Linked DNA regions of Neurospora crassa OR74A. The protein of the gene in region 2 interacts with the protein of the main gene of each other region in a biochemical or structural test. Links are inferred from orthologs where the notes say so. Each region holds a gene or a part of one and is shown on either strand. Other genes may lie near its edges. The genes, in order: NCU09063, cdc28, NCU03137, NCU02776, NCU05239, NCU10155 and hH1.

Region 1 (4,044 bases), on a different chromosome or scaffold from region 2:
CGGTTTTGTGTGGCGGACAAGCTCGACCGCGCCTCGTCAGCCTTTTGGCGGGCATTCGAAAGCTGTTGCCGGTACTTGGGTTCCTCCTCCGCAAGCTTGGAAAGTTCAGCCTCGATCTTCTTGCCCTCCTTGATCAGGTTCGCTCTCTCAGCTTTGCACTGCTCCATCTCCTCCGCCTTCGCCGCTTGCCTTTCCTGGATGGCCACAATTTTCGTCTCCATCTCCTCAAGGGCCACAGTTCCGGCATTGGCCTTTTCCCTGAGAATGGCCAGCTCACTCTCCGCAACGGCAATGGCGGACTGTTTCTGATTGATCTTGTCCTTCCAAGGCTCGAGAGACTTTTGCTTTGCCGCGATCTGATCCGAGTACTTTTGCGTCTTGCCCTTGAGGCTCTCACGTATCGTCGCAAGCTCGGCCTCCTCTTCCTTGACCTTCTTCTCCAGGAAAACAATGTCCTTTTGACGACGCTCAATCTCCTTGGTGCAGTTCTGAATGGTCTCCTCCGCTTCAACAGCCGTCTTCTCGGCGTTAGCGATCGTCTTCTCAAGCTTCTTACGCTTGTCCGTCAAGAACTTCCGCTTCTCCTCGAATTTGACGCGTTCCTGCTCGAACTTGTTCATCTCCTTGACCAGCTGCTGTGTCTGCTTCTCCCAAGAGTCGTATTCCTTGCTACCCTTGGAGTAGGCCTTTTCCAACTGCTTGATGAGCTGTTCGCTGCCGTGGTGCTTCTCAAGCTCAGCGTCAAGTTGTGCCTGCATCTGACCGATAGCCTCCTCTGTGACAGCAATATTGTCGTCGCATTCGCTGATGTATAGCTGGTAGAGAGCCGACTGTTTCAGCGCCAGTTCGTTTTCATCGCGAACATACGCCAGCGCCTTGTTCTTCTTGTCCTCGAGACTGTTCCTTTCCTTTTCCACGTGCTGGACACGACCACTCTTCTCCATGCAGATCTCGTTGAGGGTTTCGACTTCGGTGGCCGACTCTTCAATTGGTGTCTTGTATTTGGAAGTGCCAATAATGTCTTCTAGGTACTCCAACAGACCATCTTCGTGCTCGTTGCCGGCTTTGGGCTTCATCTGGGCAATCGATTCGACTTCGCCCTGGAGAATGAGAAAACGCTTGTGATCCAGATCGACACCACGGTCGCGGAGTAGCGTGGTCACGGTGGTAAAATTGGATGATTTGCCGTTGATGTAGTACTGGCTCGAGTTGTTCTTGAATGCTTTGCGCGAGATGACGAGTGTTGAGTCGGGGATAACCTCGTGGCCACCGCCGGGCTATCAATGTCAGCACAATGACTCCCCTTCAAAACAATGTTTGACTTACCAAGTCCATGACTTCCTGGAAATGCACTTCCACCTCACAGTAGTCGAGATTCGGAAACTGCGCCGAATTGTGAATCAAGGCCGAGATCTTGCCTTGTCGCATCTTGCTGGCACGGAAACCAAAGACGAACAGCAACGAGTCGATGACGTTGGATTTGCCAGAACCGTTGGGACCCACGACCGAAGAGAACGAAGCATGGAAGGGGCCGACCTCCTGTCTACCGGCGTAACTCTTGAAGTTGATGAGCACAAGATTGGTGATGACAATGCGTGGCTTCGGGCCGGTATCCTCGACGACGGGAAGAGCCATGGTCCGTGACTTGAGCACAATATCCATGGGCTTTTCCAGAATAGTATCCATAGCCCTGACGGGCTTCTGGGCCGCCACGACGGTTTCATCTGCTGTTGATGTTGGCTGTGTGTTGACAAGGGTCTCTGATGCCGCGGTCGCTGGAGGTGGTAGGTTGATGAGGGTCTGGGTGATGTCCTGTAGAGGAGCAGGTTGGCGATCGACGCGTTGAGTTGACGGAGAGCCTGGCGTTGGTGTCCCTTGACGGCTGGCTTGTTGCTGTTGCAGCTCGAGTTGTTGCTGCATGATCTTTGCTGGCGATCTGCTGAGGCGCCGCACAAGAGTTCTACGCTTCCGCGGGGGTGACTGAATTTCTTGCGTATCCCGTGCTTCTGGCTCCGCGATCACGGCGGTTGTAGCGGGCGAAACGGCAGACGCGACAGTCACATTGGGGTCGATACCCTCCTCGATCGGCTCATCCTTTGGCTTGACGGCAGGCGCTGGGGCTTCGGGTTCGGCTTGGGGATCGTTATTCGCTTCGACACTCGGTTCGACACTGGGCTCTTTGCTGGGTTTGGGCGCGGCATTCTTCTTAGGTCGTCCGCGCCTTTTCGGCGCAGCTTTTGGTGCCGGTGCCGGTGCAGTTGATGATGATGCTGCTGCTGGTGTTCCTGCCCTAGGAGCGGGCGTGGCAGTGGATCTTCTGGTGGTTCGCTGAGCAGTCTTGCGGGCTGCCGAAGCTGGCGCGGGTGTATAATCGTCCTCCTCGTCGTCATCTTGGGCGCCTCTCGATGTGGTGTTTGCGATATCGTCGTCTGATGAGGATTCTTCGATGATGGCGGCGCGCCTGGTTGCGGCGGCCCGACGCGATGGGCGCGTCGACATGACTGATGTCTGTCGGTGGTTTCGGCCTGCAAATTCTCGACTCGATGATGAAAACAACAGAACAGAATGGAACAGAAAGCGCTGCAAGATGCGGGTATCAGACAACCAAGGAGTGAAAGTTTATGTAATAACAAGTAAAGATGAAAAATGGTATTCACATTTCGCAGGGCAGTTGTTGCGACAGACACGGAATGGGACGCCCACGCAGAAACTCTTTGAGTGCTGTCGCAGCTTCTTCCTTGCCCCGCCGCGGTTAGATTGTTGACATTCAGGGCAGTTTTTGGACGGACGCTTCTTGCAATACCGTGACTGCGGTGGTAAACAATCAGCCACAGCAGCCACGGGCAGCCAATGCAATTCGTGCACTGCAGCGGGCGACCCCTCCGCTGCCTGGAACGCTCGCACCGTGTTGCGCTATCACTGCATGCGTGGCAGGCTGGTGGAGTCCCGCTCTGTGTAACAAACATTCCATGCGCTTACGGCTTTCTTACCTTATCGATAAGCCAAGACAGGCCGTTACCTAGCGCAGGTACAGATCCGGGGAAGGCTCCATTCCAGGTGCAGGGGATGGACCTGACGGACCCGATGGCCGTTGCATACATGTATCCCAGGCCATGACGGCACTCATCCATCCCTTCGATTTTCCCTTTTCCCTTTCCATTCAATTCATTCAACAGCTAAGGACACTTGGGCACTTCAACTGTGCAATCCAACTTCAACATCACGATGCTCGACTATACAGAATACAACAACGTGTTCCCCTCTCCGGGATTCATAAACCCCTACGATCACAAGGGAGCCAGTGCCATTGAGACTTTCCGCAAATCATTGGGCGGCGTCCTGTTTGTGGATCGCGTCCTAAGTCGGTTAGGCATCGCCCAAGGTTAGTGTAGTGTAAACACCACACTACCACCTAATCACCCTAACAACCCATGCCCTGTCGTTATAGCGCGCTTCATCGCTAATCACCACTGTAACTACCTCTAGGCACTGCATATCCGCCCAGAGGTGAGAACGGCTTGCGCTCCCTCCACCAACAAATCTGCCAGAGCAGCGCCTCGTCGATCCAAAAGATATCCGTTCTTTACTATCTCCTCCTCGACCATGATGACGTCCATCCAGGTCGTTCGCATTGGGCGGACAGCTTTGCTGAGGAGACGGGACTGCCGAAAAAGTACCAGATCCTTATGAGGGGCCTGTGGCACATGGATCGCATGGAGTTCAAGGTGCGGACGTCCGTTTGGTTCTGGAACCTAAGTTGCACACTGGACATCAAGACGCTAACAAACGCTGCTAAACAGTACGCAATCGAAAACCTAACCCACCCATCCCTCCCCACCGAATTCGCCGACGAAATCACCATCGCCCTTGTCCGCCATCCGCTCGTCAACAAGCGCAGCTCCACCAGTCAGAGCGATTACACGCTAGCTCTCGCCTACTTCCACGCCGCCCAGCCCGTCTTTACTTCATCCGAGGCTCTCGAGCTGCTCTTTGGCGCTCTTGCTCGTACTAACGTCACCGAAGCACTCGATTTCTCGCGTCGCT
Region 2 (4,072 bases):
ATCTGTCTTGTTGAGTGGTTCCCAATCCACTGACGTGATGCTCTTTTGATAGCTGAAATGTTGGGAGCCAACCGCTTGGTACAGGCTTGAGTGAGCTAGGCTTTTCTGAAAGCATTCTTCATTAGCGCTGTCAGCATGACGATGTCTGCAGTCCCATGTGCTGAGGTACCATTTGCTCAGTCTGATAAAAGCGAATGCCTACAATGTTGGGGGACATGTAATGCGGTGGTGTGAGCGCTTGTCGGAAAGAAAGACAGCCAAGAAGGCAACATGAGAAATCGATCAATGGCAACATAAATCCGAGCAGGGAGAAAGAAATGGAGCACATCAAAGATGAAGGAACAGCCGACATCACTTCGCATCTCCAAACGAAGGACCTGTGTTTGGACAGGGGAAAGTATGTACATGCGAGATTTATTGGAACAATGTCTTGCGCCTTTTCCCTGCCTGTGTACAGTACACTTCACACCACAACTCCCTAATATGCACCAGGGCTAACAGAAAGCCCCATCCCTTGAATGCCATTTGCTCTTCCAGATAACACCGAATCGTGTAATACAGAACTCCATTCCAATGTACTTCCTTTACCCATGACCCCTTTGAACGCTGTTCCCTAAAAACACAACCCTACATACAACAAAATGTAGGTATGGGGAATTTGATGTGTCGAATATCATGTTTCCGAGTATCCTGAAAGCAAAGTGGGATGCTATGATATGCTTCAGGTGTGATAATGACAGTTTGTTTCTGTCACCGTTTCGGTGTGTCGACCTCACTCGCTACTGGTAGAATCACAAAGACTGTACCCTTGCCACGAACTGCCCACTTTGAAGTCACCGAGATCCAACCGAACCTAAGCAGCCGGCTGCAAAACTTGGATAGTCGATCTGCTATTGCCTAACGCTCCTGCTTCGACCTTGGCGAACGTCCCTAGGCGTATCTGCTGCTGTCGCGGTATTTGCTCTTTGGCTTGGGGTTGTAGTCTTCAAAGTAAGGGTGATTGCACGCTGCCTTGGCAGAGATTCGGCCAGCAGGGTCGTAGACAAGCATGGATTCAAGTAGCTCAAGACCGACATCGTCGAGGTTTTGGCAAAGTGGTACGTTGTAGTCGCGTACCCACTTGGGGAAAGATGCCTTGAAGTCGGGATAGGAGGTGACGCCGGGCCAGATGTCCTCAGTAGGGGTTCCAAGCAGACTGTTTGGAGGAAAAGAGGTCAGTATAGCGGACTAGGGGAGAAGCAGAAAGGTGCCAAGAAAAGGTAACTGCATAAACGTACCGGAAGATCTTGAAGATCTCGTCAATTTCCGAATCACCAGGGAACAAGGGCTTGCGTGTGCACATTTCGGCAAAGATGCAACCAACGGACCACATATCGACACCGGTCGAGTACTGACGACCACCCAGCAGGATTTCGGGCGCACGGTACCACAATGTGACGACCTCGTGGGTATAAGTACGGAGTGGAACACCAAAGGCGCGGGCGAGACCGAAATCTGCTAGCTTCAAGTTGCCGTCGCGGTCGATGAGCAGGTTCTGGGGCTTGAGATCGCGGTGTAGGACACGGTGGCTGTGGCAGTATCGGACGCCCTCGCAAAGCTGGCTCATGAACTTCTTGATGATATCCTCGCCCAGTCCCAAATTGTGCAGTCCGGCGCCCGTTCCTTCGGGGAGGGCCTTGCCCCTACCACCGTCGCTGACAGGAAGGGCCTCCATGTACTTCTTCAGATCAAGATCGAGGAATTCGAAGACAAGATACAGCTTATGGCCTTGACCGCCGTCGGCGTGGACAATGTTGAGGAGACGCACAATGTTGGGGTCGCGCATCTCCTTGAGCAGCGAGATCTCACGGATGGCGGTAGAGGGGACGCCCTCATCTTCGGCTTCGAGGCGGATCTTCTTGAGGGCGACAATGCGCCCGCTGTTAGCCAAGTCGCGGGCCTTGTAGACGACACCATACGTTCCTATGCGGAAGGTGGAATGTCAGTACGGGACATGGAAGGAAGAGAGCCAAGGTGGAGGGGTCGAAGAAGAAGGGGGTGTTGTACCCTCGCCAATCTTTTCCAGCTTCTGATAGTTCTCCATGGTTGCTCTGTTACCCGTCCAGGCCGCTATACTGAGATGGGTGGTTTGAAAGTCCCTGGAGGGAAAGAATTGACTTTGCCCGGAGTCGTAGAACTACTAGTTGGGGTTGGTGCCTGGTGTTCGTGGTCGTCGTGGTGGGGGACGATTACGACGAACGATGTTGTACCTAGCGCGCTGAAGCACAGTGATTGATGGAAAAGCCCAGAACGAAGCGTGGGGCGGCGGCGGCGGCGGCGGCGGATGGAGAAAGTGACGGCCGTCGAAGGGTCGCCTTCTTGAGATTGATTGATCCTTGGAGAGTCAAGGTCCAGCCAAGGATAGGTGGTGTCCAAAGGGAGCGCAGTGGCGGATTGGTAAACAAAAACGAAAAAAGGTGGAATCGTCCGTCGTTGCCGTCAAAAGGCTACAGTACTAGCTACCGTAAATACTTTGTTTTGGTGTTGACTTTTGGTGGTGATGATGGTGCCGTGAATGGTCGACGGGTCGTCCTGGGCGGAGGGCTGAATGCGAAAGGCCGCTGATGAAAAGGCAATATGATGCAGCGAGCGATGTAATTGTCGTCCGTTGTTCCTGCAACTTCTTGATACTAAGGGACCGTGATGGTGAAGGGACAGAAATCCAAGGAAGGAGAGGCGGTGGACGTGCAAGTGGAAGTTGAGGTTGTGAAGTTGTGGTTGTCGTTCGAGTGTCGGATTTAGAGGGCAGTCCAGGGGGGTGGTCCGCTGTACTGTAGTGCAGTAGGTAGGTTTTATTCCAGACGGGCATCCGAGTGCAGGTGGTTGGAGACGGGACGATTACGTCTTAGACTTGGCGCTTGCAACGGAAATCCGTGTCAACACAAAAAGCGCGGACCGCGACGGCACCATGGAAACCACTCACTGGAGGGACGGACTGCAAGGGAGGAATGAACGCGTCCAAAAAATGCCCGCTTTCCTCGTCGGTAGGTACTCCGAGTTCAAGGTAGGTAGGTAAACTTTCAAGCAATCTAGGTACATATGTACCACCTCTACCTAGTTCTAGTAAGTACTACTACTTGGAGCATTGACTGTACCCGACAGCCCACCAAGATGGGGCAGAATACGTAGGTACCTTCTAGGTAGCCACGATCTCTAACTGTTGACTACCCCTGACTTGTGGCGCCATTCAGAAGCTCCAGCCATTCAGACGCCCAGCCCAGCCTCAGCTCGACGCCCACACATCAATCCATCTCGACCATCCGTCCCGTCTGAAGCTTCACTCGAGTCCCCACAATTTCATCTCACGATACTTCCCTACTCCAAATCCGCAACGTCACACGAGGACTCGGAAGGAGTCAACTTGTATACTCATATCCATTTCTTCGGTCACTTTTCTGTTCTCTTTTTGGATATCTCGCTCAAAAGAACTACCCGACTTTCAAGATGATGGGTGGACACCATGACCTGGATGCGCACGAGCAGCCGTCGGATGAGCTGCGGCTCAAGTGGAAGTCGTTCGCCAAAGTCGACCAGAAAATCGTCATGAACAGCCCCGAGATCGATGACTTGCGCAGTCCCGAAAAAGCCCCCGAGTTTGTGCTCGCTGGCTCCATTCCTACCGAGACTTTGAACAGGTCCTTCAGCTATATCTGCCCCGAAGACTCACCAGAGTTCCGCACAGACAAGGACGCCCCCATCTATTACCATCCTCTCTTGCCTGGTGAACTCAAGATCCTGGACCCCTCTTCCTCACGAATCATTGCTGACCAACCCCAAAAGGTCTCTTGATTCTCCCAAACCTCATTCCCCCCGAGGTCCAAAAGACGCTACTGCGCAACATCATTCACCGCGATCTCAACCAACCCCATCACCAGACCAACATGCATCTCCATTTCAAGCTCCCCTACCCGCCCGTGGATCCCGAAACAGGCCTTCAGGAATCCTTCTTCTCCTACCCTCCAGATTCCGAGACGTGTTTTGAGCCAAAGGACCCTTCTGTACACAAGCCTCTCACTTTTCAACAAGTCTTCAA
Region 3 (4,102 bases), on a different chromosome or scaffold from region 2:
ATCATAATCCCCATCCTCACTTGCCACGCTTCCTTCCTCGTAATCATCCACCGAGTTTCTCGAGATGTAGCTGTCCACAAGACCGTCGCCAACTTCTTCCTCGTCATCCTCCTCGTACTCACTTTCATGATCATCGACAACAGCCGGAGCAGATGTCTTTCGGCCACCGCTGCGCTCGTCCTCGGTGTCACTGGCAGAGAACTCGTCAAGATCCAAAGGCTGGTCTCGCCAATACTTGAAATCCGTATAATCCTCGCCACCGCCTTTGATGAGCGTGGTGACAGGTGGGAAGTAATGGTCGACAACCTCGGTCATGTTGACGTAACTCAGCTTGAGTTTGTTGAGACTCAGCAAATCGAGTGACACCTCTGCATTAGAGTTGATGGTGAAGATACGGTTACGGGGCACGTCGACCGTGCGATACGAGATTTGGTCCGTGAAACGGTTGCCGAACCCGGCGTAAAACGGTGTGCGATCGGGCCCGTAGAGGTTGCGGATGTCACGAAGCGTGGACATCTTGAAGATATGTGGTTTGCGGAGATAGATCTCGCGACGGAGAGCCGCCATGGTTCGGTCGGGTGAGAGAATGGTAGGTCCGCGTGGGAGACGGTACCCGTCTTGAACGATACCTGCGAGGTAAGTTCGTGTAGTGTCGGCCTGGCCGACAGACCGACTCGTCAGATACATTATGTTGTACCCGTTGGCTACAATATCAGTATACAGCTTGGCTACACCAGCATGCGTCCAGTCGCGCCCGATCATGTTCAGCACGTGGCCAAGCGCATCAGACTTTGTAATGGTTCCATCAATATCCGAGATGACCACGGGTACCTCGTGCTTCCATAAAAACATGTAAGCCTGGCAGGTAGCTTTGTTCACGGTGAAGCTCATTGAGTTCTCGCCGGGCTTCAGATTCAAGGCCTTCAACTGGTCGCTAGTCAACCTCAAGGTCTTTGCGTAGTTCCGATTGGGATCGCCCGCTGCCGAACTGCCGGGAGAGCTTGGGGGTGTCTGCAGGGTCATCTGGCCGACATCAGAGTCAGCTCTCCTGTGGATCGGTAGAGTCGTGGCGGCTGAGGTATCGCTAGCATCGCTCTGATACCCAGGGTCAGAAGCCGCATCAATGTTGCCCATGTGAGATGCAGAGCGTAGGGGGTCCATCGTCCTCTTCATGGCGGCCTCCTTCGCCTCGATGCTGCTGTAGATCCAAAGGTTTCCATGCTCGTCAACGCCAAAAAGTGCGCCGATGTCGTAGTTGCCATCAAGCTCCTCCGTGAGAATCTTGCGCGCAAGGATCTCAGCCCGGAAGGCGTCTTCCTCATTGTTTTTGAACGCAGTCATATCTAACATGAGGTCTCCGGTCTCGCTGATGTGGTTAGGGATATTGGCGGCGGCGAGCTCTCGGGAGAGGTTCATTGCCCTTTGAAGAGCTTCGGGTGCTGTAAGCGGCGGCGGGCTGCGGGATCTTTCGGTGTGGCTATCGCCTTCTTCTGAACCTTCGTGGGTGCTGCCATCGCTTGGCATTCTTCGCGCTGACTGCCGCAGAAGGCCATCGCTATGTGGGCGAAACGGAGACCATTCACCCTTGATAGGATCTGGTGATACGGAACGAGGTGTGAGCAACCCTTATAACCCATGCTTGTCAGTATATGTCGATCATGGCGGCGTGGAAGCTGGACACAGCGCTTACCGTCTCGTGCTAGTAGAGCAGTGGGAGGAGGCCTGTGGTTGAAGCTCGAAGAACGGGTTTTGCCTTCTACCGAGTTCAGATCGAGTGATTCAGGTTCTTGTAGAGGCCCTGACTGGTCGGCATTGAGCGGGGGGCTAGAGGCGGGCGACACGATGGGCGACGTCTGCATGCTCTGAGGGATGGTGTCTGTAGTTTCGAAGACGAAGAAGGCCTCGCCTCCCTCGCCCAGCTTCATGGCATAGTCCTGCTTGACGCCATTGACCCTGAATTCGACCTTTTTTTCGGATGGGCGCAACAGCGAGAACTTGCCAAAACGCACGTGAAAGGGAGAGCATGCAAGGGTGCCATCTTCCTGCTCAACGACTATCACGTCGATGGCACCGCTGAGGGTCGCAGGGTTGATGGAGTTCCAGGCGGTAGAGACAGAGTCGCCGAGACTCCTGACGTACTGCATGGTAGGCAATCGCAACTCGTTCTGTCGTCGAGAAGGATGTGTCCCTCTTGATGGTCAAAGGGGAAAGGGAGGGGGTATTTGTTGGTTATGTCGGTATATGGGGGGGCAGTCAAATGGCAAGGCTACATGCGGTCTGGACGGTTATGTAATGTCGACCGCAATCTCGATTCTCGACTTCGAGTAGGCGACCGGTAGGCGACCGGTAGGGGTTCTCTAGTGTGTTGGGCGAGGTCGGGAAGGCCGGATGAACGCCCGATATGCGTAGGGAGATATTAGGCTCTGACCACCCGGCCTCAATTGCTCTGTCGTCTCGAATGGATGGTTACTCAACGTGGTGTGCGTGAGTGAATCCGACTCGTTCACTTCCCGTCTGGTGGTGCGAGTATGCCGGGAGAAAAGTATTGAGGAATGCGCCGTGTTGGGGGACTTTGCCCAGTGAATGCGGATCTGATGACGAACGTCTGCCGCGGTTCAAGCAGTGAAAGACAAGGAAGGTAGCAACCCAAGTGGGATGCTGGGCTTGGGGAGTGGATTGATTATGCGCAGTACGGTAAAACACTGTGTGAAAAGTCCGAAGGGGGCGTTCAAACCCTTTCTTCAGAATCATATGCTTCGAACTAAGGAACCAAAATCTGCACGACAATTGAAGAGCTCGTGTTGTAGAAACTTTGTGTTTTTTTGGGGCATGGCGAACGGATCGCGATCCGCCGAGTAGAACTAAAAGGGAAGGAACTAAGGAACCGGCTAGGTTGTTCGTTGTGCAGTCCAACCTATACTGGTACGAAAGTTAGCTCGAGACCTCGGGTCAACCTCCCCGTGGGTTTTCAAGCGGCGATTATGCTTCTTCCGAGCTAAATTACACCGTATTGAATTTTATGGATGCCGTTTGGATCTATATCCAGCCATTCATTTAGTCCTTAACAGGTTGGAGACATCTCGGAAGACATTTCATTCAGTGTTCTACGAGTGAGTGCCTAGGTACCAAGTTAACAACAAACCAGTAGAACTACCAGACAATACGTAGGTAGGTATCCACCTCTACATACCCGGTGAGGCGGAATGAGAAACGGGATCATCCCCAACGCCCAACCTTCCAGAATCACGAGGGCGGTTCCCTTCTCAACAATCAGATCTAATTCTGTCTTGATGAGTTCGGCCTCTTGTCAGGGCAGCAGACAGGCACAAGACTGCATTTGCACCGGCTGTTCCCCATCATCAACCCACGCGCACTTTACCGACTTGGTGCAAGTCTCTAGCGATACCCTGTAAGACGGCAATATAGTCATTTACCAGCCTGGTACCTCGGCGGTCTGCAACGAGCTAACACGGCTGGCCAATCCAACCGCACAAATTGGTGTCATAAGCGGTCACGGGGATGTTTGTTATGCTGGACTACCAGGTACCCTTCAAGTTCCCCTGATGTCCTGCTGACTGACACTGACACCGCGAGTTTGAAAATGGAACTTTTTCGTATTCTCACCTTGTCAGTCTCGTTTGACTGACGTTTATTAAGTGATCCAACGAGCCGTCAACAAGCGGTTGTCGTTGTGAAAAAAAAAAGAAGCAGTCGCTCGCTGAGTGTCCATTGTCTGTTCCCGGCGGTATTGCAGCCGTCTACTCTGAAGGTAGCTGGGTTGAGATATGCCGTGAACGTCAACTCTCGCTGTGTATCCCGGGTTTCTATCGGCTTACGGGTACACCTGGTGACACCAAACTGTGCCCAAGGGGCGAGACAAGATACATACACTATCTACAAAGGTGCGAGGCCTCTGGGGATACCACGGCTTATCCAGCGCCTTTTTTCTTCATCCCGCATACAGTACAAGGCAGAGCCTTACCCCAGCTGCCTGGAAGACGTGTAGTACCGTAAGGGGTTATGGACGGCAATCTTAGCCTGAGCGTATTGCCCGGTGCTGAGGATCAGTACGTCCTCAGTCCTTGGGGGTCGGTGGTGATAT
Region 4 (4,206 bases), on a different chromosome or scaffold from region 2:
ATCGGGAAACCCAAAGATTTTGTAAAAAGAGAGGACGACAAAATCGGGTGCTGTTTCGGCGTTGGACAAGTCCAAGGGGGAAGATGAAACGAGAGCGGCGGCGTCTAGGAGGGTGTAGGTCTTTCGTTTGTTGGTTGGCGATAAACTCTGCCGACAGATCTGGGAAGACCAAGAAAGGGGAAAGCGACGGCCGTCCATGTTGGATTGGGCTGGGTAGGCGAAGAGTATCGGTCGTTCTTCGTCTTCGTTGTCGTCAAAGGGACAGCTCCCAGATAACCAGTCTTCCACCTGCCGAGTGTCCAGACAAACACTACTTCTAGCCTCTTCCCGAACTCCTACCAAGCTGGTATGGCTGGATTGATGGTAGACATAGTCAAAGCCCGTGGGCAGACATCTCATGGCTTCGACAACCAGCTTGATCCCGGCTGTGGCGTTGGCGACAAAGACGAGGTCAAAGTCGGCTGGGTCGGCGTTGAAGAACTGCAGGGCTCGGAGACGGATGTCTTGGATGCGCTGGGTTGACAGTTGGGAGGAAGCTGAGGCGGAGTGGGGGTTGCCAAAGAGGTTGGTGGTCATCTCTTGGGCGAAACGGTCCATGAGGGACTTGGGATAGGGGGTGGTGCCGGCATGGTCGAGGTAGATGGAGTCTGTTTGTTTTGTGTTAGTGGTCTGGTCAAGTTGTTGAAAACGAACTTCAACTTGCCCTTCAGCATAGGATACTCTTCTTCTCTTATCTTTTCCACGTCGGCATCGTAGCCATTGTGCTGTATGTTTAACGAACCCATCTTGGAGAACAATCAAGTATCACCAAGTCCATTAAATGACAACCGGTCAACCGAGTTTGATATTTCTGTGAGATCTCTGGGCTATCGACATGGACATCTGAACAGACACTGAGGTGGATGACTTGTCATTGCCACTTGTGGTCATGATACTTGTCGATAAACACAAGCAAAGGCACCTACGGTAGTGGCGTCGGGTATTGGAGGTTTAGTTTTCTTATACGTACCGATTCGGGAGGTCCAACGGGACGGAGATCGCCACTTTCCAGCACAGCAAAGTGAAACACAGGCGGCGGTCTCCCTGCTTCAGTGGAGGGCTCCCCTGGAATGCCCCTGTGGACACTGTGAGAATAGTGCGGGGAAGTGGATACGGATCTGGAAGAGGCCCCGCTTTGACACAAGGCACGCGCCACGAAACGAACCCTCCCTAGCCACAGTCTGTGTGGCTCATGCGCAACGGGGCTTAATTGAAACGCGCAGTGCAGCGGGGAAGCCGCGTCGAGCACCGAGCTGCAGCCCCACAAATTCGCGGTCGCGTCTCCGCAATGTGGAAGTGGAATGTGCCAGGGGTGGCAGCGCGCGAACTGGAATTCTACTTTGGTGCAGTGCGACTGGGACTGAGTGCGCAAGGTTCCTCTTTCCACCTTACAACCACACAACCACGCAAGTCCATCACCACCATCAACATCCGCGCATCGTTCTTTCCACGCGATTGCCGCTTGTCATTGTGATTGTGCATTGCGACTGGTGTTTTAGACTTGACAAAAAATCATGGCCTCACCTAGCGCACCCACGACTCTGGGAAAGAGGAGAAGGAGCACCAGACTCACAGGTGAGCAGCTGCAACTGACAACGACATTCAAGAGTTGCCATCGACATACTGACAGACCACAAGACGAGGAAATCACACTAGGCCCTCTTGCCGTAAAGCGAACAAGACGCTCTCTCCGAATCCACCCAGAGATCCACCATGAGCCCGACCACATCCAAGCAGAGAAGGAGAAGGCCGCCTCACCACCCAAGCCAACTGCCGACGAGGACGTTGAGAACCACAAGGAAAACCGCAAGCCCACAGGAGACGAGGACGAGGACAGAAAGGAGGCCGAAACACCAGCCAAGTCACTTCTCAGAAGGCGCAAATCAGTCATCGCCAGCCCGCCAAAGACAGCTCCCGTCACACCTTCCACACCACGACACTACGATGTCTTTGCAAGAGTACCAGTCACCACTCCGCGCCATCGCGTCATGTCCGTTGGCAAGCTCTCCAGGCGCATGACACCAAGCACGCCCATGACACCCGCCGCTTCTCAGACAGTCTACCATCAAGCTCGCCAACTCTTTTCTCGAAGCGCCGATCCTGGAGAGCTCATTGGACGCGACGACGAGCGCGAGAAGCTCAACACTTTCCTGGATTGCTGCACCACTGCCCATCCCAGCGGCTGCCTCTACGTCAGCGGACCTCCTGGAACCGGAAAGAGCGCCATCGTCAACAAGGTCACCGACAAGTTCGCATCCGAGACATCAACAGTGCGCAAGGCTTACATCAACTGCATGAGCATCAAGTCGTCCAAGGATCTCTACGTCACCCTTCTCGACCAGCTAGTCAGCAAAGATGAAGACAAGGAGGAACTCTCAACCGAAAGCGACGTGGTGGCAGCTCTCCAAAAGCTCATCCTGCCCAGGAAAAAGACCCAGGACGTCTTCCTCGTGGTGTTGGACGAAATCGACCACATCCTCACCCTCGACCCTGAAAGTCTCTACAGCCTCTTCGAATGGTCACTCGAAAAGAAGAACTCGCGCCTCGCCCTGATCGGCATTGCCAACGCGCTCGACCTCACCGACCGTTTCCTGCCGCGCCTCAAGTCGCGCAACCTCAAGCCTGAGCTTCTGCCCATCCTTCCATACACGGCGCCTCAGGTCAAGAACATCATCATCACACGTCTCAAGAGCCTGCTTCCTGGTGGAACACCCAAGGACCCCAACTACATACCCTTCTTCCACCCAGCCGCCATCGAGCTCTGCTCGCGCAAAGTCTCCAGCCAAACCGGCGACCTGCGCCGCGCCTTCGAGATCTGCCGCCGCGCCATCGACCTGGTCGAGTCGGAGACCCGTCTGAAGCACGAAAACGAAGTCAAGGAGCAGATGCTACAAATGTCTCCCTCCAAGAAGCGCGTCCTAGGCGAAAACACCAACCTCTCCTCGGCTCCTGCGCCTTCCTCTCTCTTCCGGAGCATCTCCACTGGACCCAGCGCCAGCGTCTCGGCCTCTTTACTCAAATCTCTGCAAGCCTTGACGCCCGCCACCGCTCCGCGCGTCAGCATCGCCGACCTCAGCAAAGTCACAGCCGCAGCATTCAGCAACGGCACCACTCAGCGTCTCAAGACGCTCAACCTCCAGCAGAAAGCCGCTCTGTGCGCTCTGGTCGCCATCGAGAAACGTAACCGCGCCGCGCAGTCGGAGGCTCTTAACTCTGCTTCAGCCAGTTTTGCATCCACTACCGGCACTCCGTCGAGGAAACAAGAGGCGCCAATTGCCCCGACAGTCAAGACTCTCTTTGAAGCTTACACCAAGCTCTGCAAACAGGACTCGCTGCTTCATCCGCTTTCGTCATCTGAGTTTCGCGAGGTGGTGTCTTCCTTGGAAACTCTCAGTTTGATCACGCCAGTGGACGGCAAGACGGGATCGTTTACTGCCTTGGGGTATAGCTCGCCTGGAGTGGGGACACCGAAGCGGGGAGGCAAGAAGAAGAAGGATGTGTTTGGGATGGGAGGCGCGTTGGTGGCGGGAGATGAGAAGAGGGTGGCTAGCTGTGTGGGGGAGAGGGAGGTCGAGCAGACTTTGCTGAAGGATGATGGGGCGGGAGTGGGGATTTTGAGGGGGATCTTGAGTGGAGAGGCGTTGGATGATTGATTGATTGTGTTTGGGATAGTATTGCAAAGTTGCTGATGATTTGGACGAGTCGGGTTTCATGAGTAGGTTGTTTTGCGTTGTTGGAGAAGGAAGCATTGTTGAGAAGTACGGACGGAGCATGGCATGGCGTGTTTGAGAGAGCATTCAAAAGTATATCATAGGGAAGGTGTTTGGATTCGTTGTAACCCAGGACAAGGGTTGGTGTTTGGCGTTTGGGTATTTGTTTGGTTTTGCGTACTTGTTTGCATTGAAGACAAAAATGGGGAGCAGGGGCACAAAAGTCCTCATCATCGGCATTAGTACCTATCCATTACATAGACCTGCCGTCGTACGTACATAGACAGACACACATTGATACACACCAAAAAATGAAGACACTTTACAAAAACCACTTTTTGACATCCATCCATCCATCCATCCATCCATCCATCCATCCATCCATCCATCCATCCATCCATCCGTCCCTTCCGGTCTTATTAGATAGGTAAAGGTAGATGTGAACAGCTCAGGAACC
Region 5 (2,761 bases), on a different chromosome or scaffold from region 2:
AGCCTTGAACCCGAATGTGTGTATCCTCCTAGACGTCGGCACCCGCCCCGGCGGCACAAGTCTCTACCATCTCTGGAAAGCCTTCGACACGGATTCCAACGTGGCGGGGGCCTGCGGGGAAATCAAAGCGATGAAGGGGCGGTTTGGCGGGAATTTGCTCAACCCTCTGGTGGCTAGTCAGAACTTTGAGTACAAGATGAGCAATATTCTGGACAAACCGTTGGAGTCGGTGTTTGGGTACATCACGGTGTTGCCGGGCGCCTTGTCGGCGTATCGGTACCATGCGCTGCAGAACGATGAGACGGGCCATGGGCCGTTGAGTCAGTATTTCAAGGGCGAGACGCTCCATGGGCAGCACGCGGATGTGTTTACGGCGAACATGTACTTGGCCGAGGACCGAATTCTGTGTTGGGAGTTGGTGGCCAAGAGGGGTGAGAGGTGGGTGTTGAAGTATGTGAAGGGGTGTACGGGTGAGACGGATGTGCCTGGTGAGTTGCCCCCCTTTTTTGCTGTGTGATAAGTTATACTAACGAGTTGTAGACACCGTCCCGGAATTCGTCTCGCAACGTCGTCGTTGGCTCAACGGTGCCTTCTTCGCCGCCGTCTACTCCCTCGTCCACTTTCGACAAATCTGGAAAACCGACCACACCTTTATGCGCAAAGCCCTTCTCCACGTCGAATTCCTCTACCACCTCCTGCAACTCCTCTTCACCTACTTCTCCCTGGCCAACTTCTACCTCGCCTTCTACTTTATCGCCGGCGGTCTCGCCGATCCCCACGTCGACCCTTTTAACTCGGACGGCCACGTCGCGCGCATCATCTTCAACATCCTCCGCTACGTCTGCGTCCTGCTGATCTGCACACAATTCATCTTGTCCCTCGGCAACCGTCCGCAGGGTGCCAAAAGAATGTATCTCGCATCCATGATCATCTACGCCGTCATCATGGTGTACACCACCTTCGCCACCATCTTCATCGTCGTGCGACAAATCCAACCCTCTCAAAAATCCGACGACAAGCCCGACCTCGAACTCGGCAACAACGTCTTCACCAACCTGATCGTCTCCGTGGCTAGTACCCTCGGGCTCTACTTCGTCATGTCCTTTCTCTATCTCGACCCCTGGCACATGTTCACCTCGGCCATCCAGTACTTTGTCCTGCTGCCTTCCTACATCTGCACGCTCCAGATCTACGCCTTTTGCAACACCCACGACGTCACATGGGGCACCAAAGGCGACAACGTGATGCGCACCGATCTCGGAGGCGCCATTGGCAAGGGAAGCACCGTCGAACTGGAAATGCCTTCGGACCAACTCGACATCGACTCGGGATACGACGAATGTCTACGTAATCTCCGCGATCGCGTCATGGTCCCTGCCGTTCCCGTGTCCGAGGACCAGCTGCAGCAGGATTACTACAAGTCGGTGCGCACGTACATGGTGGTGTCGTGGATGGTGGCCAACGCGACGCTGGCCATGGCGGTCTCGGAAGCGTATGGCGATTCGGAAATTGGGGATAATTTTTACTTGCGGTTTATCCTGTGGGCGGTGGCGGCCCTGGCGCTGTTTAGAGCGTTGGGGTCGACGACGTTTGCGGCGATTAATCTGGTGAGTGCTCTCGTGGAGGGCAGGGTCAGGCTGAGGTTGAATATGAAAGGGTTTAGGTGGATTAAGGAGAAGTGGGGGGATGCGGATGTGAAGGGCAAGTTTGAGGGGTTGGGGGATCGGGCGAGGGGGTTGGCGAGGCGGTGATGTCTTGTTTGTTTGGGATTCGATTCTGTTGTTTTTCATGATTTTCATGCCTGCTGCTGTGATTACGTTGTGGTCAGGCAGGCAGCGAGCAGCAAGCAGCAAGCAGCAAGCGAGCGAGCGAGTTCGTTTTTTTCTTCTTTTTTTGTTCCTCTTCTTCTTCTTTTCTTACGACGACATCTCACGACGTTACGAGATTCTTCTTTTACTTACTTACTTACTTACTTACTTACCTACCTTTTACGGATGGGTGGGTGGGGATCATTTGGGACTAAGGGATATGGAAAGGGCTGGCGGCCTTTTTGATGGATATAGTACTGGTTTTTTTTTTTTTTTCTTTCACTGAGTTGATGATACCACATTATTGTATGGATTGTTTGTTTGTTTGTTTGTTTGTTTGGGATGGATATATAGGGCTCAGCTGGCTAGCTACCTACTAAGGATACCAAATGATTTTGATTGATACCATTACTACTACCACCACCACCACCAATTGTTTGGTATAATTTTGAGGATTACATACAATAACTGTCAATGGTTAGGTAGGTTACTTCGGTCCTTTCTTTACTATGTACGTATATATGTATGTATGTATGTATATATGGTTGTGTTGTGTTAAGAGAGAGAGATGTGTTGGGTAGGTACATACATATACATACATAGAGAGAAGTACCGGCCGAAAGTTGATGACAAAGTTGGGTGGGTGTTGGTTGTCTCCCTTGCTTCCTTGTCCCTATTGTAGTCGGTTCTAGTTCACGTCCACTTTCACTGAACTTGGAGAATCAGGAACTGATCGTTCGTGGAAAGAACTTTCCGTTGTGCTCTAGAGGTGCCGATATTCTATTCTGTTCTAGTTACTATTCACAGACTGGCGGGACCGAAATGACTGCGCTGCGATACGTGTGGCGGGGAGGAAGTGGATGGACTGGGGGTTAGGTAGCCTAGTTGGTCAAGGTTGTGCGTCTGTCTGTCATGAGTAGTGTAGAATAACATATATGACTTGTAGATGGGGT
Region 6 (3,995 bases), on a different chromosome or scaffold from region 2:
TGAAGTGTAGCGACACATCAAACGGACCGCTCACCTATTGTACATCCGCTCTCACCACCCACATCCTTCAAACCCCAAACATCTCCTCTCAAGCTTTCTGCTTCTCTTTCGCCTCCTCCTCCTTGAACCTCGCAACCAACCTCTCCATCAAAAACGGACTTAGTCCCAAGCTGTAACCAATCCCAACAGTTAGCAACCACGTCAACCCACCTCACCTCACCTCACCAAAGTAAAAATACTCACATGCCCTGATTCGTAACAACCCGATAAGTCCCACTCCCCTGGAACGTCCCCTCGATCATCTTTCCCTGCCCATCCACCTCCACGCTCCCAAAGATATCCTCGGGCCACGCAATCCTTCCGAAATCCACTGGCGTCCTCTCATCACTCAAGTGCACCCATCCTCCCCTGCCCGCGCCTCCCGCGCCTCCCTCCGCTGACGCCCCGCCGGCGCCCGTGTCGCTGCCCTTTTTGCCTACCTTTCTCGAGCCAGGACGAGGAAGGAAGGAGAAACCGGCTGGGGAAGCAAAGGCTTGGGCTTGTGATTGAAGACCGGGGTCGGAGTAGGCGTGTTCGGCGAGGACGGAGTTGAGGATGGAAAGAAAGTGGGGGTTGGTGGTGAAGGACTGGGGAGTTGGGGGTAGGGCGGTGGTGGTGCCGATGGAGAGGGTGGGTGGGGGAGGGGTCGTGGGGAGGAGGGAGAGGATGTAGCTTTTTGGGTCGTTTGGGTGGGGAAAGACTTTCTGTGGTGATGGGTGTTAGTATGGTGTTTGAGTTGTTGTGTGGTGATGTGGTGAGGATGGGGGTTGTGGTGTAAGTGCGGGTGGGGTTGTTGGTGGAGAGGTGGATGGATGACTTGCAATGTTTGGGTTGGACGGCAAGGTCGTGAATGACCTGACTGCGCTTCGTAGCGTAGGAACTACACGAAATCTTGTAGTAAGCATCATGACTGGCTGTATTGAATCTGATATCGAGAATGAAAAGGTTGGTGATGGCGTCAAAAGTTAGTTGATGTCACTCTGGTGCTGTTCGTGCGTCTACTTGTAGCGTAGGTACCTGCTGTAGGTACCTCTCTAGCGCTGCCGGCGGCAACCAGGGTAGGTGGCCCTTGATGCCCCTGTTTCTGACATTGTGGAGCCCGTATTGGCTGAAATCTGGGGTGAGCCCCACTAGAACGCGTCTGGTCCCCTGCTTCGTTTCTCAATTTACGCGTCTTCCAGACAGTGACAATGACGGATATCACCACCACGAACAGACTGGTAGACGGCCAATTGTAACCGACTATACTAAATTGCAAGTTTAGTCGAGCTATCCAGACCACAGACACAATGATCGTTCAAAGTCCCCGCCAAAAGCGGACGAAAACCGGCCAGACAAACGCCCAAGACAGACCATCTCGACCGCAGCCACAAGCAGCAGCCGCCGCCGGCTTCTTTGCGCCCAAGACCCCAGCGGGCCCATCCAACCCGATACCCTCGTCCTCGCCCGCCTTCGCTACTCCAGTACATCCACTGAAGCCGTTCCAACCCCCAGTCCTCACAAAAGCCGCAATCCTGCCCATCATCCTTCCGCCGGCGACACTACGACCGCTCGCCTTCCGAACGTTTACCAAGAAACACAGCCTAACACTTACATCAACTGCCCTACAAGAGCTCGCAACCTTTATCGGTAGACACTGTGGCTCAGGATGGAGGGAAGAAGGCCTGGCCGAAAAGGTGCTAGAAGAGGTAGCAAGGAGTTGGAAGAACCGCAATGGCGGCGTCATCGTGGAAGGCAACAGCCCCGAGCTCAAGGACATTCTCAAGACCCTCGAGGGAAACATGAGCGGAGGAAAGATCCTGACCGGGCCACGAAGCTTGAGCAGACAAAACAGTCTCTTGCTAGAGCCCGACCAAGACGAACAACATGCGCATAGTCGACTCGGACTTCGGCCCGTGCCATCATTAACCCGGGAGGACAGCAACGCCAGCTTTGGCATGTCTGGGTTGGAGTTCACAGAAGAGCCGGAAGACGATTCGGTGAGAGATGTTAGGAGGTGGCTGAAGGTTATACATGCTTTCGATCAACCACGGTTGATGTATAATGTTGGAAAGAAGCATTTTGAGAGGTATGGTCCCTTATTATTTATTACCCTCTTTACATAGGTTACACAGCTAACCTTTGTAGGGATCCTTCCAAACCCTCCCTACTACCAGCCGCCTCTCACAAAACCGATGCCTTCCGCAACCGCTACAACGTTATTCATCAGCGCATCCTTCGCAACGAAGCCTTTCAATCCTCCTCCGTCCAAGGCTCCAGCTTGCGCCAACGAACCAACGCCAACGGCCTCTCCTCCCACAAGATTACCCCAATCGCCAACCTGCTCGGCCGCCATGGCAGCAACCACATGCTGCTGGGCATGCTTGTTGTCCTTCCCACTGGCTCTCTTGCCATCAGCGACCTGACGGGCACCATTACTCTCGACCTCTCTCACGCTGTCGCCATCCCTGAAGATTCTGCCTGGTTTACGCCGGGAATGATTGTTCTCATCGACGGCGTCTACGAAGAGGAGGAGGAAACCATGACCATGGGCAACGGTCTCAGTGGTAGCAGCGGTGTGGGCGGTACCATCGGCGGCCGGTTCCAAGGTTTCTTCATCGGCCAGCCACCATGCGAAAAGCGCCGCGTTACGCTCGGGGTTAGTGGGCCCGACGGCACCGGCGCTGATCATACCATTGGCGGCGGATTCGGCTGGATCGACTTCCTGGGCGTAGGTAGCGAGAGGGCAGTCGGGTCCAAAATGCGCAAGTTGGAGCACAGAATTCTTCGGCAACCAGCGCTGTTGGAGGATGGCAGGCCGTCGAGGGGTAGGGCAGTGATTATTGGCGAACTAAACCTAGATCAGCCGAGGAGTTTGCAGGCACTGAGAAAAATCTTGGGTCTCTATGCTAGTGATCCTGAAGGGTGTACACCCATGACGTTTGTGCTGGCGGGTAACTTCACGCAGCATGCTGTCATGGCGAGGGGCGGGAGTGGGGGGAGTATTGAGTACAAGGAGTTTTTCGATGCGTTGGCATCGACACTGGCGGATTTCCCTAGTCTGCTCACGACGGCTACCTTTGTTTTTGTGCCAGGTGACAACGACGGGTGGGTGTCTGCCTTCTCAGGTGGTGCGGCAACTCCTTTGCCGAGGAAACCCGTCCCAGATCTGTTTACTTCCCGCATCAGGAGGGTATTCGCAGCAGCGAATGCTGAAGCCGGGCTAGCCAACCCTGGCAAAGAAACAGAAAAGGATGCAGGCAAGAGGAGAGGCGGCGAAGCTGTCTGGACAACCAACCCAAGTAGGATAACCCTTTTCGGGCCTAGTCACGAAATGGTTCTTTTCCGAGATGACATCTCCGCCCGGTTACGACGAGCTTCTGTCCGTCTTAAGAACACGAGCAAAGCCTCCGTCGAGCCGGAACCCCCAACCAATGGTAACGACGACTCGGCAATGGATAACCAATGTCCACCCTCCTCCCTCCCCGACGCCCCCGATGCTGACGACGAAGACATGGCCGACACAACCATGACCGACGCCATGGATGTCGATTCTGCCCCTGCCCCTAACCAAAAGACTACCATGCCTCCTCCATCTTCCATACCCTACGACGTCCTCGCCGCCCGCAAGCTAGTGAAAACCATTCTCGACCAAGGCTATCTCGCTCCTTTCCGGCAAGCTATCCGCCCGGTACATTGGGACTATACTTCCGCCATGTACCTCTACCCGCTGCCGACGGCCATGGTACTGGTGGATACTACCGCTCCGCCGTTTTGCGTGACGTATGAGGGGTGCCACGTGATGAATCCGGGGAGCATATTAGTGCCGGGGAGGAAGGGGGCGGCACGGTGGGTTGAGTATGAGTTACCGGGAGTGGGAGGGACGGGGACGGGTGGAGGGAGGGTTAGGGAGTGTACATTCTGAGTTTTGCACATTTCGAGTGAAATGTTTGATTGTCTGGAGAAAAATCTGCCTT
Region 7 (3,527 bases), on a different chromosome or scaffold from region 2:
GTTTTGGGTGTTTTGCCGGCAAAAAAAAAGTCGGGGCATCAAATTTGTAAACAAACCTGGAACAGGGGAGCGAGCGAGGAGCGAGCCGCCCACAACCTAACCATAGTCGCGTTCCCGCCCACCGGCCGGATCCCCGTTGTTGTGCTCGTCCCAGCCAACTCTTAGTTCGCTTCTTGCTTTTCAATCCTTTTTCACCGCACCCCACAAAACTTAGATAATTTGTTGCAATATGATCAAAAAAAAAAAAAAGTGTTTGCGAATTTCGTTCGTCGTAGCAATAGGGTATCCCTCGTGATATATTTCAGATACAATGAAGCGATTGAAGCCGCCTTCTCGCCTCTGGACTCAGCATCACTACCAGACCGCCAGATCATCGCTTCAAGGTCCTTCGCTCCAAACTTCGTATTCATCAAACCAAATTCTCGGCTTTTTCAGAACTACACTGCGAAATCGTCAGGTAGCCATGTCAAACTAAAAGGGCAAAGCGCTTGCTCAGGGTATTTGAAGAAGAAAAAGTGGTATCGTTCCAAGACGGATTATATATGCAATGCAGTATCCAAGATAAGGCTTTTTGGTGTATGTCCTTCGCTTCTTGAGACACCCTCGAAGCCGCCGGTCGCCCGTTTCCCATTTCCCAATCATCCATAGGTTGTAGCCCAAACCTACCCTCCGTTGCGTTTCAGCACAAACGATCCAAACCTCCTCAATCCCCATGAGTGATGTGTGAATCCAAGATACATGAAAGCCAGAAACAAGAAGCTACCCCCCGCGCGCGCTGTGGCGATGTTGTGAAAAAGAGCAAAACGCGTTGACTTGTAGACCAATGAAAACCCCCCCTTATGTTGATAAGTGTTCCCAAGCAATATGATTCCCCAAACGCCTTTCGAGTAAGCCCGTCACATCGCAAGTGGTGGTGAAAAAATGACTAAAGACATCATGAGAAGAGACCGAGGCGCAAAAAAAGAGACAAAAACATCATCCCAAAGGAACGAGTTTATGCCTTCTCGGCAGCGGGCTCGGCCTTCTCGGCCTTCTTGCTGGCGGCAGCCTTCTTGGGAGCAGCGGCCTTCTTGGCGGCAGCAGGCTTAGCGGTGCTCTTGGCGACACGGCCAGACTTGGTCTTGGTGAGGACGGTCTCCTTGTCGGCAACGGCAGGAGCAGCGGCCTTCTTCTTGGGGGCAGCCGCCTTCTTCTCCTTGACCTCCTTCTTGGGAGCAGCAGCCTTCTTGGGGGCAGCCGCCTTCTTGGCAGCAGGAGCCTTCTTCTCCTTGGTCTCCTTCTTGGCGGCACCCTCCTTCTTAGCGGCAGCGGGCTTCTTCTCCTTGGTCTCCTTCTTGGGAGCAGCCTTCTTGGGAGCAGGCTTAGCGACCTTCTTGGCAAGCTTGGTGCCACCGGAAGGACCTATATCGTGTGTGAGCATGCAAAGAGTAATACAAGGAGATGATGCGTCATGTGGGTGGTGACATACCCTTGGGCTGCTCAAAGACACCCTTGTCGACACCGTTCTTCAAGGCCTTGTTGAAGAGCGAGTCGAACATGTTGTCGGTGACGTTGCCGAGCGTGTTGTTGGCACGGACATACTTCTTGAGAGCTTGACGGCTGTGGTGTGCGTTAGCAACATGTTGTGATCCTTCATCGCGTCATGGAAATAAGAATGAAAGTGGTCATCGGTGCGACCGTAGGAAGGGCCCGCAAGGTTTGCGGTGTGGCTTGGCAAAGCCCTGGTGAAAAAATGAGAAAAGTAAGCAGAAAAATGGCACATACCTAGATCCAGCGCGGTCCTTGAGCTGTAGCATGACAAAAAGAAGGAATCAGCACGACTGAGGGACAGTAAAAGGGTGGTGAGTGGTGTGGGTGACTCTTGGTTGCGTGCATCATGAGAGCAATTGTCTCATTTTGCTCACCGACCAGAGAAGCGCCCACAACCAAAACACGCCACAACAAAGATAATGAGGGGGTTTAAATACCGCAACAATAGCGTCCGTGATCATGTCCTGTTTGAATGTTAGCAAAAGATGCGTTTCTCTTGGGGATTAAGTAAAGCTTACAAGGTAAGAGGCATGGGTGCTGGGGCTCTTGGTCTTGGGAGCAGAGGTGGGAGCAGCGGCGGGAGCAGGAGCGGCGGCGGCAGAGGCATCGGCGGCCTTGGTCTCGGTCTTCTTGGGAGGCATGGTGATGGATGTGGTTGTGGTTTTAGGGCTGGAGGCTGAGGATATCTTGCTGAAGATACAACTGGATGAAAGGGGCGTGCAAAAGGTTCAGTTGAGGTTGGATCGTGGACTGGGAAACAAAGGACGAGAGGAGGATGGGTGGGCTCAGTCGCGCTCGAGGGGGGAAGATTGGGTGTTTATATACGGAGGCGGGGTCTCCTGGCGCGACCGAGTGATTTCGCTGATTCTTCCCTGCCCCTGCCCCGACGGACCTCCCGTCTCCCCCTGCGACCTGGGGGGGGGGGCCTCTGTGACCTCCTGGAAGCCGCTACCCCCAGCCCATTTCCCGGGGATATGTGGCCCGTGCACCCCACTAACACACGCTGAAAGAACGAAAGAAGCCGGCCAGTGGCCCCGATTCCTGTTCCCTCGTTCCATGTCAACACGATGTGGAAGCTGGGGCTCCGGACCTTTTCCTTTTCGCTTGTCTCATGAAGGAAGGGGAAGAGACCTCGAGAGCATCGATGCTTCGTTGTGTGGTTGTCGATGAGATTTCCCGTCCCTACAGTAGGTACCTATCCTCTCGGTCGCCATCCCCATCCCCTTCTCCTTCCCCTTCCCCCTCCTCCCTCTCCCTCTCCCCCCCCCTCCCCTTGTCTTCCCGTTTCCATGGACTCGGCTGGAGATGCAGTGGTGCTGTCCCATGTCCCATCGATCCCACTTGTTCTTCTTTTTTTTTTTCCCTTTCCCTTTTCCTCTTCCGTTTCTCCTCTTTTTAGAAACCGATTGGGGTCCAGGGGAGTGCGGATGCCGATGGATGTCCATTCCAGATGGAGTCTGGTCCGGACAGATTGGATGATCCAAGGTGGGACACGGCATCATTCACTGGCCCCAAAAGAAGCATGTTCTGCCGCCCGTCACCTCTCCTCGTCGACTCGCAGGTTATCAGTGTGCCTGTGTGTGTGAGGTGGCATGGCATGTCGCATATCGGTCGGTCGGTCGGCATGGCTGGCTGGCTGGCTGGGTTGGCACAATCGAAGCCGCAGGGCATCAATCCATCCATCCCGCATCCCATCTCTCAGATTCAGTCGGTATCTCGCCCATCCCATCATCTTCTATTTATCTATTTATCTCTCTTCTTCAACAAGAAAGCAACGTCAACCAACAGGATGAATCATTGCATGGCTACACTACCTCATGCTTCCGACGACTCGACAGCAATTTGTTACTCACCATTGTTTCACTCAAGCCCCGGATGGCTGCCCGATTGCTTATTTATCAACAACAGATCCCAATGGATCATGATACATAGCAGATGCGGACCTGCTTTTAAAAAGTCGACTCCGAGTCGCTTAGACTGCTACTGACCTTGCAAAT

Evidence for each region.
Region 1: of the proteins of cdc28 (region 2) and NCU09063, one has a biochemical effect on the other in vitro, tested with the Saccharomyces cerevisiae proteins (3 studies listed by BioGRID). The link is inferred for Neurospora crassa OR74A from reciprocal best matches to the Saccharomyces cerevisiae genes CDC28 and SMC4.
Region 3: of the proteins of cdc28 (region 2) and NCU03137, one has a biochemical effect on the other in vitro, tested with the Saccharomyces cerevisiae proteins (2 studies listed by BioGRID). The link is inferred for Neurospora crassa OR74A from reciprocal best matches to the Saccharomyces cerevisiae genes CDC28 and PAH1.
Region 4: of the proteins of cdc28 (region 2) and NCU02776, one has a biochemical effect on the other in vitro, tested with the Saccharomyces cerevisiae proteins (8 studies listed by BioGRID, with this or other methods). The link is inferred for Neurospora crassa OR74A from reciprocal best matches to the Saccharomyces cerevisiae genes CDC28 and CDC6.
Region 5: of the proteins of cdc28 (region 2) and NCU05239, one has a biochemical effect on the other in vitro, tested with the Saccharomyces cerevisiae proteins (2 studies listed by BioGRID). The link is inferred for Neurospora crassa OR74A from reciprocal best matches to the Saccharomyces cerevisiae genes CDC28 and CHS2.
Region 6: of the proteins of cdc28 (region 2) and NCU10155, one has a biochemical effect on the other in vitro, tested with the Saccharomyces cerevisiae proteins (2 studies listed by BioGRID). The link is inferred for Neurospora crassa OR74A from reciprocal best matches to the Saccharomyces cerevisiae genes CDC28 and DPB2.
Region 7: of the proteins of cdc28 (region 2) and hH1, one has a biochemical effect on the other in vitro, tested with the Saccharomyces cerevisiae proteins (8 studies listed by BioGRID, with this or other methods). The link is inferred for Neurospora crassa OR74A from reciprocal best matches to the Saccharomyces cerevisiae genes CDC28 and HHO1.

Annotation. Positions count from the first base shown.
Region 1 is NC_026507.1:495,314-499,357, reverse strand, and holds the start of NCU09063 (nuclear condensin complex subunit Smc4), read right to left. Parts: upstream 2,801-4,044; 5' UTR 2,500-2,800; coding exon 1,327-2,499; intron 1,278-1,326; coding exon 1-1,277. Other genes in the region: NCU09062 (hypothetical protein), read left to right, coding at 3,226-3,382, 3,487-3,725, 3,801-4,044. UniProt on the Saccharomyces cerevisiae protein: Central component of the condensin complex, a complex required for conversion of interphase chromatin into mitotic-like condense chromosomes.
Region 2 is NC_026506.1:1,088,741-1,092,812, forward strand, and holds cdc28 (cell division control protein 2), read right to left. Parts: upstream 2,801-4,072; 5' UTR 2,084-2,800; coding exon 2,047-2,083; intron 1,963-2,046; coding exon 1,278-1,962; intron 1,196-1,277; coding exon 931-1,195; 3' UTR 345-930; downstream 1-344. Other genes in the region: NCU09779 (oxidoreductase), read left to right, coding at 3,484-3,760, 3,820-4,072. UniProt on the Saccharomyces cerevisiae protein: Cyclin-dependent kinase that acts as a master regulator of the mitotic and meiotic cell cycles. Required to drive the G1-S transition. More than 200 substrates have been identified. Substrate specificity is in part regulated by the bound cyclin protein.
Region 3 is NC_026501.1:4,687,487-4,691,588, reverse strand, and holds the start of NCU03137 (nuclear elongation and deformation protein 1), read right to left. Parts: upstream 2,801-4,102; 5' UTR 2,145-2,800; coding exon 1,691-2,144; intron 1,626-1,690; coding exon 1-1,625. UniProt on the Saccharomyces cerevisiae protein: Mg(2+)-dependent phosphatidate (PA) phosphatase which catalyzes the dephosphorylation of PA to yield diacylglycerol. Required for de novo lipid synthesis and formation of lipid droplets.
Region 4 is NC_026501.1:9,228,405-9,232,610, forward strand, and holds NCU02776 (cell division control protein Cdc6), read left to right. Parts: upstream 1-1,406; 5' UTR 1,407-1,553; coding exon 1,554-1,614; intron 1,615-1,677; coding exon 1,678-3,692; 3' UTR 3,693-4,083; downstream 4,084-4,206. Other genes in the region: NCU02777 (molybdenum cofactor sulfurase), read right to left, coding at 1-647, 704-785. UniProt on the Saccharomyces cerevisiae protein: Plays a crucial role in forming the pre-replicative complexes.
Region 5 is NC_026504.1:5,644,111-5,646,871, reverse strand, and holds the end of NCU05239 (chitin synthase A), read left to right. Parts: coding exon 1-488; intron 489-540; coding exon 541-1,751; 3' UTR 1,752-2,261; downstream 2,262-2,761.
Region 6 is NC_026505.1:1,592,515-1,596,509, forward strand, and holds the start of NCU10155 (DNA polymerase epsilon subunit B), read left to right. Parts: upstream 1-1,195; 5' UTR 1,196-1,328; coding exon 1,329-2,107; intron 2,108-2,166; coding exon 2,167-3,943; 3' UTR 3,944-3,995. Other genes in the region: NCU04588 (hypothetical protein), read right to left, coding at 89-170, 244-743, 861-947. UniProt on the Saccharomyces cerevisiae protein: As accessory component of the DNA polymerase epsilon complex participates in chromosomal DNA replication.
Region 7 is NC_026507.1:545,801-549,327, forward strand, and holds hH1 (histone H1), read right to left. Parts: upstream 2,367-3,527; 5' UTR 2,172-2,366; coding exon 2,049-2,171; intron 1,995-2,048; coding exon 1,968-1,994; exon of another isoform or gene 1,797-1,967; coding exon of another isoform or gene 1,788-1,796; coding exon 1,765-1,787; intron 1,600-1,764; coding exon 1,469-1,599; intron 1,402-1,468; coding exon 995-1,401; 3' UTR 501-994; downstream 1-500.